4 linked regions of the Arabidopsis thaliana genome follow. The protein of the gene in region 1 interacts with the protein of each later gene in a pairwise test. Each region holds a gene or a part of one and is shown in the gene's direction. Other genes may lie near its edges.

The links.
Region 2: the proteins of CLE3 (region 1) and NHL3 interact in a protein complementation assay, tested with the Arabidopsis thaliana proteins (one large-scale study listed by BioGRID).
Region 3: the proteins of CLE3 (region 1) and HHP4 interact in a protein complementation assay, tested with the Arabidopsis thaliana proteins (one large-scale study listed by BioGRID).
Region 4: the proteins of CLE3 (region 1) and WAK3 interact in a protein complementation assay, tested with the Arabidopsis thaliana proteins (one large-scale study listed by BioGRID).

What each region holds. Positions count from the first base shown.
Region 1 is NC_003070.9:1,903,963-1,906,952, forward strand, and holds CLE3 (CLAVATA3/ESR-RELATED 3), read left to right. Parts: upstream 1-1,955; 5' UTR 1,956-2,012; coding exon 2,013-2,264; 3' UTR 2,265-2,336; downstream 2,337-2,990. Other genes in the region: MEE5 (Ribosomal protein S5/Elongation factor G/III/V family protein), read left to right, coding at 3-209, 523-621.
Region 2 is NC_003076.8:1,930,044-1,933,910, reverse strand, and holds NHL3 (NDR1/HIN1-like 3), read left to right. Parts: upstream 1-2,142; 5' UTR 2,143-2,199; coding exon 2,200-2,895; 3' UTR 2,896-3,115; downstream 3,116-3,867. Other genes in the region: AtPOT1b (Nucleic acid-binding, OB-fold-like protein), read right to left, coding at 3,116-3,319, 3,395-3,547, 3,646-3,704, 3,785-3,861. UniProt on the Arabidopsis thaliana protein: Confers resistance to Pseudomonas syringae pv. tomato DC3000 (Pst DC3000).
Region 3 is NC_003075.7:17,698,617-17,703,518, forward strand, and holds HHP4 (heptahelical protein 4), read left to right. Parts: upstream 1-2,017; 5' UTR 2,018-2,269; intron 2,270-2,369; exon of another isoform or gene 2,370-2,390; 5' UTR 2,391-2,599; coding exon 2,600-2,865; intron 2,866-2,957; coding exon 2,958-3,210; intron 3,211-3,298; coding exon 3,299-3,952; 3' UTR 3,953-4,336; downstream 4,337-4,902. Other genes in the region: NAGS2 (N-acetyl-l-glutamate synthase 2), read right to left, coding at 1-220; AT4G37682 (hypothetical protein (DUF1399)), read left to right, coding at 4,845-4,902. UniProt on the Arabidopsis thaliana protein: May play a role in abiotic stress response.
Region 4 is NC_003070.9:7,432,075-7,437,550, forward strand, and holds WAK3 (wall associated kinase 3), read left to right. Parts: upstream 1-2,160; 5' UTR 2,161-2,228; coding exon 2,229-3,105; intron 3,106-3,206; coding exon 3,207-3,365; intron 3,366-3,438; coding exon 3,439-4,628; 3' UTR 4,629-4,756; downstream 4,757-5,476. Other genes in the region: WAK5 (wall associated kinase 5), read left to right, coding at 1-272; AT1G21245 (Protein kinase superfamily protein), read left to right, coding at 4,768-5,268. UniProt on the Arabidopsis thaliana protein: Serine/threonine-protein kinase that may function as a signaling receptor of extracellular matrix component. Binding to pectin may have significance in the control of cell expansion, morphogenesis and development.

The sequences.
Region 1 (2,990 bases):
AGGCCTTTCTGCCTGTGATAGAGTCCTTTGGGTTTGAGACAGATCTGAGGTACCACACTCAGGGACAAGCCTTTTGCCTATCTGTGTTTGATCACTGGGCCATTGTGCCAGGAGACCCTCTAGACAAAGCCATCCAGTTGCGCCCACTTGAGCCCGCTCCTATTCAGCATCTAGCTCGGGAATTCATGGTCAAGACCCGCCGTAGAAAGGTATTATGATTTCCTTTGTTTCAATGCACATCCCAAAACTTAGTGGGTTTCATGCGGTTAAAGATACGAATGAAACCATAAACTGATTTGTTACTCTAGTGTTTGGTTAAATGACCCCAGTAAACCCTCACAAACCAAAGGATCCCCGAAACTACTGTTTACAAACCCGGCCCTTGCTAATTACTCTTTAACCAAGTAACACCAGCTATAATTTGCTGGATACATCCTAGGCTAGTTATATTGTATGACTCGTTGGGTGTTTGGATCATCAGTTTCAGACTCTCACGATATGTATAATTTGTTGGTTATGCAGGGAATGAGCGAAGACGTCAGCGGAAATAAATTCTTTGATGAAGCGATGATGGTAGAGCTTGCCCAGCAAACAGGCGATCTCCATCTGCAGATGATTTGATGATCTCTGCACTTTTTTCATATAAATCGTGATTCAGGACTAGTAGTAGTATCTTCTCTTCTCTATATATGTGAAAGGAGAACAAGAAAATGTGGATCAGTTTTGTAATTGATGTGTCAAATTTACGTTGTAAGTTGAGAGATTTTAATGAACTCAACAGTCCACATGGTCACACTCACACATGACTCGCAAATAGTTGACAGGAAATGTTCACAAATTTTTGTAAAATTGTAAACTACTATTGGATTATGGGAAACTGAACTAGGTTATGACACTATCATTTATAAGATGATCTCATAGTTTGTTGTCTATATGATTAGTAATTATACATATGATACAGAGAACGTACGATCCAGATCCTATTTCCGCAAAGAGTTTTCTGCATAACTAAGATTTGATTCTTCAAAAATGCTAAATTTAAAGATAAACCAGGTCAATGGCACAAACCTATCTAGATATAAGTAAGTTTTTCTTCATAATTTAATTTAGTGCACACAGACGACTTATTTTACTCCAATGAAAATCGGTTAATTCGTCAAACGTCACTACTTGTCTCAAAGATTTGTTGTGCTTTACTATTTTCGTCTATTTCATGCTTCCATAATCAGCTTTTTACGTTGACGTGCTCTTTACAAATCGAAGTGGACGTGGCGGCAACCACTTATACTTATTATACATAGAATAAAGCTACAAAATATATAGTTAAGGCCCTGGTGGATTAATATATACATCGTTTAAGGTTTTAGATTGGTCTCCTCCACCTTATTTTATGTGCATTGCCAACTCTGAAAACGTCATGCCTTATCTTCATTGGTTATATCCATTTGGCTCCATCAACCAAACGACGATAATGATTTTCCACATATCCTATATACATTTGGGTTCGGTAGAATTACTACAATACTCAAATTGCTTTTAATTTATGTTTTAGTTTATGGAATATGAATTGTGAGTTTTTTAAAAAATAATCTCCCAATTAAATATTATTAGCTTTTAAGTTTCTATTTCAAGTGAAATCAGTTAGCTATGCATGTCATTCAATATAGACATAATTTTGTTTTCTTCCATTCGTTTTACAATTTTTAACTAACAGAAATTATACATTACGTCACTTACTACGTTCCCACTAAAAATAGAGGCAAATGCAATCAAGTGATGACGACCTTTCAAAAATAAATATTAAGAGATATATAAGAAGGGACTAGCTAGGTAGATATGACTAGATTCCAACTTAATTAACGTATTTAATTTCTGCATAGATGGACGTTAATTAGGACTTTAGCTTCTCTATAAATACCGTAGCTATTGAGCTTATATATGGAGATCACCCCCTTAAAATCTTCAAAGACTATATATCTCACCTTTAAGAACTAAGAGGAAGTTACATATATATGGCAAGTCTCAAGTTATGGGTTTGTTTGGTCCTGCTTCTAGTACTCGAATTGACATCGGTGCACGAATGTCGACCATTGGTTGCCGAAGAGAGATTTTCTGGTTCAAGTCGTTTGAAAAAGATAAGACGTGAACTTTTTGAGAGGTTAAAAGAGATGAAGGGGAGATCAGAAGGCGAAGAGACGATCCTTGGAAATACTCTTGACTCAAAGCGGCTTAGTCCCGGTGGTCCTGACCCGAGGCATCACTGACACTGACCATAGAAGAATGCAAAAAAAAATGTGTAATGTAACATTTTTGGGAGAGTTTTAATATGATATTACAACTTTTTAACTTATAATGTAATATTCTTATGCTGTAGTTAATTTTCTGTCTTTCCACTAATGAAGCATTTCTGTTTACATGATCTCGTTTTTATGTAGTTCCTGCATGCATCTTTCTTTAGCAAATATGTTCTATTTAAAAAAGCAGCATGTTATGCTTATTTTGAGAGCTATTCCCATTTTCACTAAATATGAGTTCATACTATTCAAGTTAATTAAAAAACACCATTTAGCTTATTTCTTATATCTAAAATTCACAATTATAACTAACAAATAATTACATAGATATACTATATAACATATATCAACATCACTTAGTTTGTATTTGAAATAATCAATCTATATACTAAAAAAAGAAAAACATTACCTTTATAACAAAAAATGAGTGAAACTTTAATGGAATTTTTCACCAGCAGAAATATAGTGAATCTAAAAGCATTCAAAATTTTCTGAAGCAAGATTTTTTTTTTTCAATTGCTTGTCAGCATCACATATTTGTCAGAAATAATGAATAAACTTGACAAAAAATCTTGCTTTAGAAAATATACAAATATTACAATACATATACAAAATATACTAACTTTAAATATTAATTTAATTAGTACCAGATTTAAGAAAAAAATCATTCAAAATTATAAATTGTTTTATTTATTT
Region 2 (3,867 bases), on another chromosome or scaffold:
ACTAACTCCCACGTGTTTTGTTTCCTTTGTACATATACACGCTGCCGAATCCAGTTTGTATATAAACATAATTTTAATTGAAAATCTTCGAAACATTGTACTGAAAATTTGCCATACGTAATCTAGGTAATTGATCAGCATGATGAGAAACTTTACGCCCATCAATCCATGAATATACAATCCTAGTTTGGAACCGAAGTTATACTGTAAAAAAGCAGATGATAAAAACACACAATTGTCTACATAACCTTCCCTTTTTGCCTTTTTGAAGTCATACATTTTATTAAGCGTGTAAATGATCAAGACTTGAATATATACATAAAGATTCGATTTTGTTCATCTAGAGAAATTCATAACCAAAACATAGAATAAACATTCATAACCAAAGGATAACGTAAGTAAAATGAATCATGGAGTTGTATCATTGGTCCACTGGTTAACACGATACAGTTTCGACTTTCGAGTCGTATTGTATTCCAGATTTTAACAATGATTAACAACACAAAATTATGGTGACAACCACCAAATTAGAATTAGTAATAGATTACATGAAAAGTATACCCTATATGTTACTTCCTTAGATATATGTCCATTTAAACTTTAGTGGACATCTATTCAACGCAATTTCTCAATAATTTATTCGGATGAATATCGGAATTGAGTAGATAGGGATCGGTCGTCGGTTCCTCCATTTTCAAAACCCTAAGAACAACCAAAGTCTTCATCATTTATTTGTCCAATTCCAATGATCTATTTCGTCCAAACGGCTAAGATTGAAGGAGTCTTCGTGAAATATTTGTTGTCTAATTTAGTTTAATGTTTTATCACCACACACATTGACACCGCATTAAACTCTAACAAGTTTTTCAAACACGTTTGTTCATCACCAGGTTTTTCTTTAAAATTATTGTGTATTACTTATCATATACAATGAAAATTATTGTTATACCGTATAACACATAAAAATTTCTTAAACTACATTGACTACTTTAATAAATAAATAAAACACATTACATCTCATATTATAAGAATACTTTTTTTAGTTGTTACATTTGTTTTTATAAATCCTCCATAGTTGTTTTAAAGTTTAATATGATTGAGTTGCGATCTAGTATTATTATTCTTTATTAAATATGCTTGACCTTTCTCATTGAAGAAAGATGTAAACATTTGAAAGCATGGCTTCACCTAATCTTCCTTTCAATTACAGGTCACATCATCCAACTCTAAACACCAACCTCCCTTAGTTTTCCTTGCTTTTAGCATTATAACATTAACAAGTCTTTGCAATGTTTAATTTTCTTTGAATTTGAGAAATCTTTCACATTAAACATTTTCATTAATTGATAATTAATTAAATAACCTTTATCAGTAGAACTGTTCTCATAGTTATAAAATAAACATTTGGAAAACCCCACCTCAGTTTCAACTTGCAACCTATAGATCAAAGTTATTTCATTTCATCATGTTATATATATAATGTCGAAATTCTTGACCGGGACTGGTTTGTCTTTTTCTAACTTTGTATAGGCTTATTGATATTTTGGCCACATTTTCTATTTTTGTTCTCAAAAGTCTTTCGTCAAGTTTAAGAAACAATGGCTATATTAGAGCAGTCGCTTTTGGGGAAGTTTCTCGGAAGCTTAGTTACATTGTAAAAATGACTATTCACAATTCACAAACTAACTACCGCACTAAGTATCATCACATTCTCACATGTCTTATATAATAAAAGAATATATAAATAAATATCTACATATGGATATTCTTGTATGCGATCGGCACTAACCTCATTAATCACCAAATCATGTATATATGGATTCAAGAAATAATCTCATTAAGCTTAACCAAAGTATACATAGTCAAATTGAAGAAGAAACCATATAGTAAAATTTAAGAAACAATCTTTAATGTATATCAAACTGTTAATCCTAAATATCTAATAACAATCTCGCAAGTAACCTCTACTTAAATCAAATTTTCATCGAACAATATTAAACCGACGCGTCACCTTTGACTTTGAAAAAACAAAACCGCGTCAAATTAAATCGTTTTATCTAATACACGTTATCTCTACAGTGTATATATATTACGGCCTCTTCTTCTTCACTTCAAATCATATTTACTTTTTCAAAATCTTATCACAAACCAAAAAAAACTTTCTTTCAAAATCGTTCTCTGAGGCATTTTAACGAACAGATGGCGGACTTAAACGGTGCGTATTACGGACCATCGATTCCACCGCCGAAGAAAGTCTCTCACAGCCACGGCAGACGCGGCGGTGGATGCGGTTGTTTAGGTGACTGTCTTGGCTGCTGCGGCTGCTGTATCTTAAGCGTCATCTTCAACATCCTCATAACCATAGCCGTCTTATTAGGCATAGCTGCTCTAATCATCTGGCTCATTTTCAGACCCAACGCTATCAAATTCCACGTCACCGACGCTAAACTCACCGAATTCACACTCGACCCAACCAACAACCTCCGATACAATCTCGATCTCAATTTCACAATCCGTAACCCTAACCGCCGGATCGGTGTTTACTATGATGAAATCGAAGTCAGAGGATACTACGGTGATCAGCGATTCGGTATGAGTAACAACATCTCGAAGTTTTACCAGGGACATAAGAACACGACGGTGGTTGGAACTAAACTCGTGGGACAGCAATTGGTGCTGCTTGACGGCGGAGAGAGGAAGGATTTGAACGAGGATGTGAATTCTCAGATCTATAGGATCGATGCCAAGCTGAGACTTAAGATTAGGTTTAAGTTTGGGTTGATCAAGTCGTGGAGGTTCAAGCCCAAGATCAAGTGCGATCTCAAGGTTCCTCTTACCTCTAATTCAACCAGCGGGTTTGTTTTTCAGCCGACCAAGTGTGACGTTGACTTTTGATTGCTAGTCAAGAGTCAATGCTATTATAGTCTTCTTCGAGTTCATCATATTACACTTGTTTATTGATTCTTATTTTAGATTGTTTTGCTTTATTATCTTCCATACATATCGTTGGAGAGAGATATTTTTCTTATGTAATGTTTTATTGTATGGTTCCATGTAAATAAATAATCACATTTTGTTTAATGCTAATAACTATACAATTAGCATTATGATTGTCTCATGAAGCATTGATCCAAGTATCAAAAATGCGGAATCTTCTGCTTTCCCACTGATCCATTTTGTGTTTGTAGAATGAGAACAAGCAACATTGTACCCATGGAGGATTTCTTGGCACTTTCTCCATCTCTTCACCTCCCAACAATCTATTCAGCTTCTTGACTAGAGCCTCTTCATCAGATTCGTCACACCCGAAAAACTTTTCCTGTAAAAAGATATACAGATATAAGTATTAGACAATCCTTCAATGAACACTAATAATTAATCGTGTTTTACTTACCCCTTCATCAGCATATAGAGAAGCATGGATTCTGGCGGTTGCATCTTCTAGTATAGCTACCAATTTGATATTTCCGTTGATATCACGGAGTTTTCTGACGTCTCGGGGATACACTTGTATGAACCGAACAACACACCTGAATTTAGCAGTCACCTGCATAATAAGCATCAGTAAAACATCAATTCAAGAAAGTTTTCACTATACTCTTTTCCTACAACTTATGATAAATCCAAGGTTTTTGGATACATTACATTGTGATAGGTCAGGATGTCCATCAGAGAAACAAATGGAGCATCGTCATGGGCAACCCCTAGAAAAGATTAAACCATAAGTATTATATTAAACGTTATGTCAAATTTCCACAATTCCAAACAATTAGCTGGTTATTACCTGTGATTTCAGAATGTGAACGACTAATGCAACGCGCGATTGGGTTCCATCTCGGTGAAAACTTCTCCCCACACATTCTGAAA
Region 3 (4,902 bases), on another chromosome or scaffold:
CCACATCGCCGGCTGCAGTCACCGCGTAGTCAAACATATTGCATTTCGCCGCCGTTATAGAACTAACCGGCTTAAACCATGAACAGTTAAACCGGAATTGAGTAGGGTTTAGCTTATTTTTTGGTTTGAATGACGAAAAATTCGACTTTGATTGGCGAAAGTGGTAAGGAACATAGTAGCTAGAAGTAGAAGAAGAACCCACTAAAGCTCCTCGCTCCATCTTCCTTAGACTTCGATGAGAGAAAGAATTCAAATAAATACTAAATTGTTATTGTAACTAAACCGGCAGGTGACGGCTGATTACGGTCGGAGAAGGCGGCAGTAGTACCGTAGTGGGACCCACGGTAAGTAGGTATTTTATTTATTGTTTATTTTTCCATATTTTCTTCAATAGTCTTTTTCTATTATTATTTATTGTTTATTTTTCCATATTTTCTTCAATAGTCTTTTTCTATTATTATTTATTGTTTATTTTTCCATATTTTCTTCTTTAGTCTTTCTCTATTACTATTTGACGGAACTCTTTGAATGTCTGGTCGTTACAAGCTTAAGTTGTGTCCCCACATGGAAGTTATTCGGTTGGGTCCATCGAAGGAAAATTGATTGAACCGGTCTGGTCATTCTCTCCCAAACTATAGAACCAATTTCGGTCTGCATCGGAGTTTCGAAGTCGCGGACTTATCAGAGTGGGCTTTTTAAGGAATGTTTTTAGAATATTTACCAGCCCAATCCCATTTTAAGTATGTCCAGATCTTAATTTGGCGAGCCTTTTTATATATGGTGAACAACTGATTCTAATGTGTATGTTTCACTTTTATTAGAGAAAAAATGTGAAAAGATTTAATGTGTATGTTTCACTTTTATTAGAGAAAAAATGTGAAAAGATTCTTAAAAGTATTTATTTATGCTAATTGGCAAAACTAAAACATCAATTTATGTACATCATTTTAGTTCTTCCTCTAAGATTTGATTGATTTGTATTAATGGCTCTGAATACTGATACTAGTTTCGTTGGCAAGTAAGATAAGTGATAACTTTGATAAAGAGTGTCAAATTACAAGTGCCACAATTTGGAGTACGTAACCAAATTGACATAAAACTTGAATAGGTGAAAAAACGAGCCAGAAAAAAAACGAATATCTTCTGCTTATCCGAATAAAACGAAAGTAATATTCTTACAAGATCCTTCCTTATGAAGTAGTGCCAGTAGATATTTTTATCATTGTGATTGCGACCTGTTTGTTGCGATTCATTTATGCCAATTCACGTTACTATTTATGTTGTGATAAAATCTTTTATTTTTCTTCTTCTTTCCAAATACTTAAGTATGCATGATTATTGATCCGTACAAGCATAAACGAAGAGCTATAAAGTCTCCAACGGTAAACGTACGTGAACCAAAATAACAATTCAATATTATGGTTCGAATTATTCTGTGTATTTTATGTAAGAAAATAACCAAAACCGACTCGAAACAAAACAAAAAAATCTTCTGAAATGTGAATCTTTATTTCGGAAAATTCTTAACGATAGATAGTTTTTGCTTTAAAATTAAATCCAAACATAAACTAGAACTGAAATTCAATTCGTTGTCAATATTTTCTATACAAAAAAAAAAAAGAAATCCGACCAAATAAACAAAACCATAAATAGACATCTCCATTTTTAGTTGAAAGATGATTAAATGCAATAAATGTGCCACAATCATAAATTTTTCCTTTTCACCTAATTGAAAATTTTAATCATTAATAAGAAGAATCCATGGAGCACAATTATTTTATTTTTTATTTTTTGCTCTCATATGGTATGTTAAATTAATTTTCCCTTAATTTAAATTCCCCATATCAAATAAGTTTTTTTTTTTTTGAGAAAGACTTGATTTCATAGGAGAAATATTTGTTAATATTTTCGACAAAACATTTTCTCTGTTTGATGTATTTCCATCCTCGTACAATAAATACTCTAGCTATTAAATTCTTAGCCCAAACGAAAATAAAGAAAAATAAAAGGGTCCTACTAATAAACAAAACAAAACTAGTGGTCCCAATTTGAAATATATAAAAATATATAAAATTCATAAAGCTTTGTGGCTTCAGAGCTTCCACTTCCATCGTCGTCTTCTATTTTTTCTTCTTTCTTCGATTTCATACCAAAACAAGAACTCTCTGTTTTCGACAAAAACGAAACCTTGAGATCTATTTTGATTGACTTTTAAGAAAGAGAGAGATCTTTCTTAGAAGATTTTGTCTCGTCGGCATTGAAGATCCAGGTAACAAAATCTCACCTTTTCTCTCCTAATTTCACGAAATCGAAGAAAAATTCTCATAATTCTCTTAATTACTTATCTCTCAATTTCTTAAATCTTACAGGGTTTGTCTTTCGAAATTCAGGTAATTTTCTCAAATCCATTTATGGATTGAAGCTTTAGGTAATGAATGAGCTGAATCTGCATATAAAAATCGATACTTTCATTATCCAGAACAAAACAAGATTTAGCATAAACGTTCAAAATTGAAACTTTGATTCCTAACTTCTTGGAATGATTCAGATTGAGCTAGATTTAGATCTGTATGATTGATATTATGGGTTTGGTTTGTTTATGAGTAGAGAGAAAATGGGTGATGAGGCAGAGATCAAGGAACATTTAAAGCCACAAGCTTCATCTGAAACAATGGACAAGAAACATAATGTGAAAGGGAAGAGGTTATGGCAGAAAGTCAAGTATCAATTGGTGGAGTTTCATTCATTGCCTGCTTATTTAAGAGACAATGAGTACATCATTGGTCATTACCGATCCGAATGGCCGATCAAACAGATTCTTCTCAGCATCTTTACCATTCATAATGAGACTTTGAATGTTTGGACGTAAGTGTTGAATCATGTTTCTTGATGTATCCTTGTTTAAAGTTCAAGAGCCTTGAGTGTGTTTGTGTGTGTGTGTTCTTTGGGATTTGCAGGCACTTGATTGGGTTTTTCCTGTTTTTGGCGCTCACTATATACACTGCAACGAAAGTACCGAGTGTCGTGGATCTTCATTCGCTTCAACACCGTTTACCCGATTTGTTGAGGAAAACAGATCTCCACAAACTTCATTCTGAGCTCATGGCTCGCCTTCCTTCTAGTCCATCTAGTTGGCATGTGATGGACCTTCTTTATAACTGTTTGCCTGAAAGATTTTCTCATGGCAACTACACTGACATGTGTGTTCTGGTAAGAAAAGACTCAATCTTTCTCTCTATTCCTGCAGATTACTGTTTCAAAATGTGGCCAAGTTCATATCTTTGTAATTGCATTGCAGCATTCTGTGAGGGAAGATCTTGCAAACTTGATAGCTCCTTTGATCTTCAGGCCAATTACTCGATGGCCGTTTTATGCATTTCTAGGTGGTGCTATGTTCTGTCTATTAGCAAGCAGCACGTGCCACCTCCTCTCATGTCACTCCGAGCGAGTCTCCTACATAATGCTTAGGCTTGATTACGCCGGCATCGCAGCTCTAATAGCGACTTCCTTCTACCCTCCGGTTTATTACTCCTTCATGTGTGATCCTTTCTTCTGCAACCTCTACTTAGGATTCATAACCATCTTAGGAATCGCCACTGTGCTTGTTTCTCTCCTCCCGGTTTTCCAAAGCCCGGAGTTTCGGGTGGTGAGGGCGTCTCTGTTCTTTGGAATGGGATTCTCTGGCTTAGCTCCGATTCTTCACAAGCTGATAATCTTTTGGGACCAACCTGAAGCCCTTCACACGACAGGTTATGAGATTTTGATGGGTTTGCTTTATGGGTTAGGAGCTCTGGTTTATGCAACTAGGATCCCAGAGAGATGGATGCCGGGTAAATTCGATATAGCAGGACATAGCCATCAGTTGTTTCATGTTCTGGTTGTTGCTGGTGCGTTCACGCACTATAGAGCTGGGCTAGTGTATCTTAAGTGGAGAGATATTGAAGGATGTTGAAGATGAAGATTGAAGATTAGATGGAATCTTTGAATCTTGTTTGTAGTAGCTTCATATAAAAGTTGGATTATGTAAAGTCTTATATGTAATCAAACGTTTAATTGTTTCCTTTATTCAACAAAGGATTTATATTGTTAATCCACATATGTATTACTGGTTAAAGAAGCTGAAGGATTCATATTTTTAGATGATTCCAGTCTTGATTGCAGCATTCAAAGTATCATAATCCAGTGTCAACCTCATATAGCCTCCTTGTGAACCTGACACAAGCCTAATTGTTCCATGGCAGAGGATACTTTGATTCTGATCTTCTTCTTGAAGGTTTCCCCTGATTGGTATACATTTCGAATGATCCATAAGTGTTGATAAACTACAAGTACACAAAATATGAAACAAAATCTATGCACATCAATAAAAATTCAGAAATCAATAAAATTTACTCTGAAAATGCAGAACATTTATAAGTGTTTGTTATTGTTTTCAATATATGAGAGGAGGAGCTCCCCTACTATTTTTATATTTTTAGCCAATGAGAGAGCTCCACTTCATACCCCACTTTTACCAATCGTGCTATTTCACAGCCACTCTCACTCATGTCGCGTTGAGCGCGTGTCTACGATTTCTAAAGGGGTTAATCCACAAAAATCATGCATTTTTGGATCCACGCACCTCATTCTCAAAAACCCATCGCGTGTCGTATTTTTTTTGGTTTTCTTCTCTAAACCAAATTAAACCGAACCGAGATCAATTTGAATTTCAAAACCAATGTAAACCCATCGCTGTGAAAACAAAAAGCTCGGCCACTGTAACAACAAAAATGGAGACGACACAACTTGGAAGAGAAATCAACTCGAAATAGCCAAGAGAATGTTCGTAAACCCCCTCAAATCCGATGCTTCCTTTGATTCCAACCTCCAAAAGCCCATCTGCTCAAACGAGGAGTATTACAA
Region 4 (5,476 bases), 5.5 Mb from region 1:
AGTATAATCAGAGGGAGATCCAGGAATCTGCAAGAATTGCTGTTGAGTGTACAAGAATTATGGGAGAGGAAAGGCCAAGTATGAAAGAAGTAGCTGCAGAGTTAGAGGCCTTGAGAGTCAAAACAACCAAACATCAGTGGTCAGATCAATATCCCAAGGAGGTTGAGCATTTGCTTGGTGTTCAAATCTTATCGACGCAAGGTGATACCAGTAGCATTGGCTATGACAGCATCCAGAATGTAACAAGGTTGGACATTGAAACTGGCCGCTGATATTTATCAATCTTTTGTTTGTGAAAAAGTAAAGCCACTTATTTATTGCTTATGTCCTATATGTTTCCTAACACTTCAAAAAAAACAGAGTATCAAAACATGATATTCAAGAACATTTATGCTCGAGAGATCCGTTGTAGATCATCAATTATTCATTTTATAACTCCATTCGATTGGTAAGCTAACCAGTAGACGATTCGGTATGAGAAAAATTAAGAATTCATGAATCTACTAGCAGAGATATTGATATACTGTTGTGGTTGCAAAACAATAACTCGAATTTAAAGGGCTCAGTTGCTTAAAACATCCTATTTGATCCACAGCTTGACTCATATATTGTTTTGGTACTGGCATCTATAATTTAATACTGCGTTTTCTAAATTAACAAAATCATTCTTGCTGCATAAGATTGCTCTGGTTTTGAAGCCATCAAGTTTTCTTATTTTGTTAAAAATTTATGATCTTTAACCATAAGTAATATATATAGTGAAAACATGAGAAAATTTGGTGGATTCTAGAAAAGCACTCTCCGTCAACGTGATCGATATTATGATGAAATGATTACAAAGATGCAATTATATATATCCACGAGCAACAAGACGAAGACAAAAATGTAAACAAGTTAACATATGATTTTGGAATTAGATCAGTAATAAACAAACATATGCACAACTACATGAGAAGTAAAAACTAGTAAACGAGAAATCTCTAACTTAAGATGCGTGGTATGTACGTAACTCCAAAAGAACAACTTGACATTTTTTTTTTTTTTTTTTTTTTGAATGTAATGTTAAATTATATTCAAGAAAAATAACGTTTTTGATACAAGGCTTTGAAAGTATGAAAGAACAACTTGACTATTTGATAAACAACTTGACTCATATATTGCTCTGTTATTAAAATTTTAATACTGCGTTTTCTAAATTAAATTATCATTCTTGCTGCATAAGATTGTTGTGGTTTTGTAACCATCAAATTTTCCTTTTTTGTTAAAACTCTGATCTTTAGTAAATTGAGAAAGCTACCTCTACTATACCCTTAAAATCTCTAAGTCTGGTCTGTCAAAGATTATTTTAATCATCAAACAGTGTATTTTCAGTTTTTTCTCAAGATTTTCCCTCAGTTTCTTTGAATGAATCTGGTTTCTTTCGGTGAAAGAGTGCTGGTCGTAATTGAGTTTGGTTTGTAATATATTACTTAAGTGTCGTGTCTGTTAAGTTAAAGTAGTTATGTTTGTTGTGTCACAAGAAAGAAGAGTCATAACTCTTGACTTTTCATGTCTGTTGGTTTGTATTTAAGTTAATTGTTGTAAACCTTGTAAAACAGTTGTTGTATTTCACTTTCTCTATAATAGAAAGACAAGTTCTTCTCTTTATTGTTATGTTGACGATCAAACCAATTGTGATACAAAGTCTGATTCTCTTTCTCTGTTCTTAACTCTGTTCTGTTTCTAGAAGGAGATTCAGTTTCTAACAAAGTGGTGGATTTGCATGGAAATTTCTCATAGATAACCTCTTGAAGAGTAAGCAGCGACATGACACATGAGGCAAGAACTATTCAAATTCTTCGAAAACTTGTTGACATTTATAAACTCAACACACACACACACACAAAAAAACTACATATTTCTACTATTACGACAGCAGAAGAAAACAGAGCATGTTGTGATCATGATGAGTCTTATTCCTACATTGTCACTATAACGAGACTTTCATATATGAACAATAAATTGGAGTTTCCTGGAAAAATCAAGACAAGAAAGAAAGGACAGATAAAGAAGTTGACGCATTTATATTTTTCTAACGTCTAGTAGTCTGAATCTTTACTTTTCTTCACATTTGATTATTCAACAATGTCAAATCAGGGGTTACTTTTCAAGCTATAAGAAGCGAATAAGCGATGAGAGAAAACTCAAAGAGAAACAAGTTTAGAGAGAAAGAAAGAGAAAGGTAGAAGATGAAGTTCCAGGAGGGTGTGTTCTTGGTGGTTATTTTCTTCCTTGCATATACTCAGCTTGTGAAGGGGCAACATCAACCTCGCGAAGATTGTAAACTTAAATGTGGAAACGTCACAATAGAGTACCCTTTTGGTATTTCTACAGGTTGTTACTATCCCGGAGATGATAATTTCAATCTCACCTGTGTCGTGGAAGAGAAGCTACTACTCTTTGGCATCATTCAAGTGACCAATATTTCTCACAGTGGCCATGTAAGTGTACTGTTTGAACGATTCTCTGAATGCTACGAGCAGAAAAATGAGACTAATGGAACTGCCCTCGGGTATCAGCTGGGTAGTAGTTTCTCTCTCTCCTCCAACAACAAGTTTACTTTAGTAGGATGTAACGCTTTATCACTTTTGAGCACTTTTGGAAAGCAAAACTACTCAACTGGATGCTTGTCATTATGCAATTCTCAACCAGAGGCAAATGGAAGATGTAATGGTGTAGGTTGCTGCACAACAGAGGACTTCTCTGTCCCGTTCGATAGCGATACATTCCAATTTGGCTCAGTTCGCTTGAGAAACCAAGTTAATAATTCCTTAGATCTATTTAATACTTCGGTATATCAGTTTAATCCTTGCACCTACGCTTTTCTCGTTGAAGATGGTAAGTTTAACTTCGATTCTTCAAAAGATCTTAAGAATCTGAGGAATGTCACGAGGTTCCCTGTGGCACTAGATTGGTCTATTGGAAACCAGACATGTGAGCAAGCTGGAAGCACAAGAATATGCGGTAAGAACAGCTCATGTTACAATTCTACTACTAGAAACGGGTATATCTGCAAATGTAATGAAGGTTATGATGGGAATCCATACCGTTCAGAGGGTTGCAAAGGTACTTCATATTAATTTCTTTGCTTTCTTTCTTCTTTTGAGTGTTTATAATCTTCCTCATACGTTTTTGGTTGCATCTTGTGCACTTATTCCTTTGGTCAGACATCGATGAGTGTATTAGTGATACACATAACTGTTCGGATCCAAAAACCTGTAGAAACAGGGATGGAGGCTTCGATTGTAAGTGTCCATCTGGTTACGACTTAAACTCCAGTATGAGCTGCACGAGGCCCGAATACAAACGGACTCGAATTTTTCTTGGTAAACACTCTTCACTGGTTCTAGATTCTCTTTAAATCAACTCGCTCTAATCATCTATGCATGATGTTATCAGTAATCATAATCGGCGTCTTGGTCCTCCTGCTTGCTGCGATCTGTATACAACATGCAACGAAGCAAAGGAAGTATACCAAGCTCCGACGACAATTCTTTGAGCAAAATGGTGGTGGCATGTTGATACAGCGACTTTCAGGAGCAGGGTTGTCAAACATTGATTTCAAAATCTTTACTGAGGAAGGCATGAAAGAGGCAACTAATGGCTATGATGAGAGCAGAATCTTGGGCCAGGGAGGTCAAGGAACAGTCTACAAAGGGATATTGCCGGACAACACTATCGTTGCTATAAAGAAAGCTCGGCTTGCAGACAGTAGACAAGTAGATCAGTTCATCCACGAAGTGCTCGTGCTTTCACAAATTAACCACAGGAACGTGGTCAAGATCTTGGGTTGCTGTCTAGAGACTGAAGTCCCCTTGTTGGTCTATGAATTCATTACCAATGGCACCCTTTTCGATCACTTGCACGGTTCCATTTTTGATTCTTCTCTTACATGGGAACACCGCCTCAGAATAGCGATAGAAGTCGCTGGAACTCTTGCTTATCTTCACTCCTCTGCTTCTATTCCAATCATCCATCGCGATATCAAAACTGCAAATATTCTCTTGGATGAAAACTTAACTGCAAAAGTAGCCGACTTTGGCGCTTCTAAGCTTATACCAATGGATAAAGAGCAGCTCACAACTATGGTGCAAGGCACTCTAGGCTATTTAGACCCAGAATACTATACCACAGGGCTTCTGAACGAGAAGAGCGATGTGTATAGCTTTGGGGTAGTCCTCATGGAACTGCTCTCAGGTCAAAAGGCATTGTGCTTTGAACGGCCACAGGCTTCAAAACATTTGGTGAGTTACTTTGTTTCTGCCACGGAAGAGAATAGGTTGCATGAGATTATTGACGACCAAGTGTTGAACGAGGATAATCTGAAGGAGATCCAGGAAGCTGCAAGAATTGCTGCAGAGTGTACAAGGCTAATGGGAGAGGAAAGGCCAAGGATGAAAGAAGTAGCTGCAAAGCTAGAAGCCTTGAGGGTCGAGAAAACCAAACATAAGTGGTCGGATCAGTATCCTGAGGAGAATGAACACTTGATTGGTGGTCACATCTTGTCTGCACAAGGCGAAACCAGTAGCAGCATTGGCTATGATAGCATCAAAAATGTAGCAATATTGGACATTGAAACTGGCCGCTGATATTGCTCACAAAATCACATGTATCTCTTTTGTTTGTAAAAAAAGAAAACCACTTATTTGTTGCTTCATCAATATGCTTTGAGAGCTTGTTTGTTCATCATCAATAATCATGTTCATATTTTCCTTTACTTGGTATACTATGGTGCAAGGCACTCTAGGCTATTTAGACCCAGAATACTATACCACAGGGCTTCTGAACGAGAAGAGCGATGTGTATAGCTTTGGGGTAGTCCTCATGGAACTGCTCTCAGGTCAAAAGGCATTGTGCTTTGAACGGCCACAGGCTTCAAAACATTTGGTGAGTTACTTTGTTTCTGCCACGGAAGAGAATAGGTTGCATGAGATTATTGACGACCAAGTGTTGAACGAGGATAATCTGAAGGAGATCCAGGAAGCTGCAAGAATTGCTGCAGAGTGTACAAGGCTAATGGGAAAAGAAAGGCCAAGGATGAAAGAAGTAGCTGTAGAGCTAGAAACTTTGAGCGTCAAAACAACCAAACATAATTGGTCGGATCAGTATCGAGAGGAGAATTTACACTTGCTTGGTAGCAACATCGTGTCTTCCCAAGGCGATACCAATAGCCGTGGTTATGACAGCGTCAAGAATGTAGCATTGCTTGACATTGAAGCTGGCCGCTGATAAATTTTGTTTGTTAAAAAGTATATTGTTTAATTCTTTATTGTTTATCTCCTTTTGTCTTTATAAACATAACCAGAATATCAAAACATGACATTCAAAAACATTGATATCCTTGTAGATCATCCATATATACTCATGTTCACAATTCTCCTATATTTTTATATGCTAACCAGTAGCTGATTAGGTATTAGAAAAACTACCTAGAGTT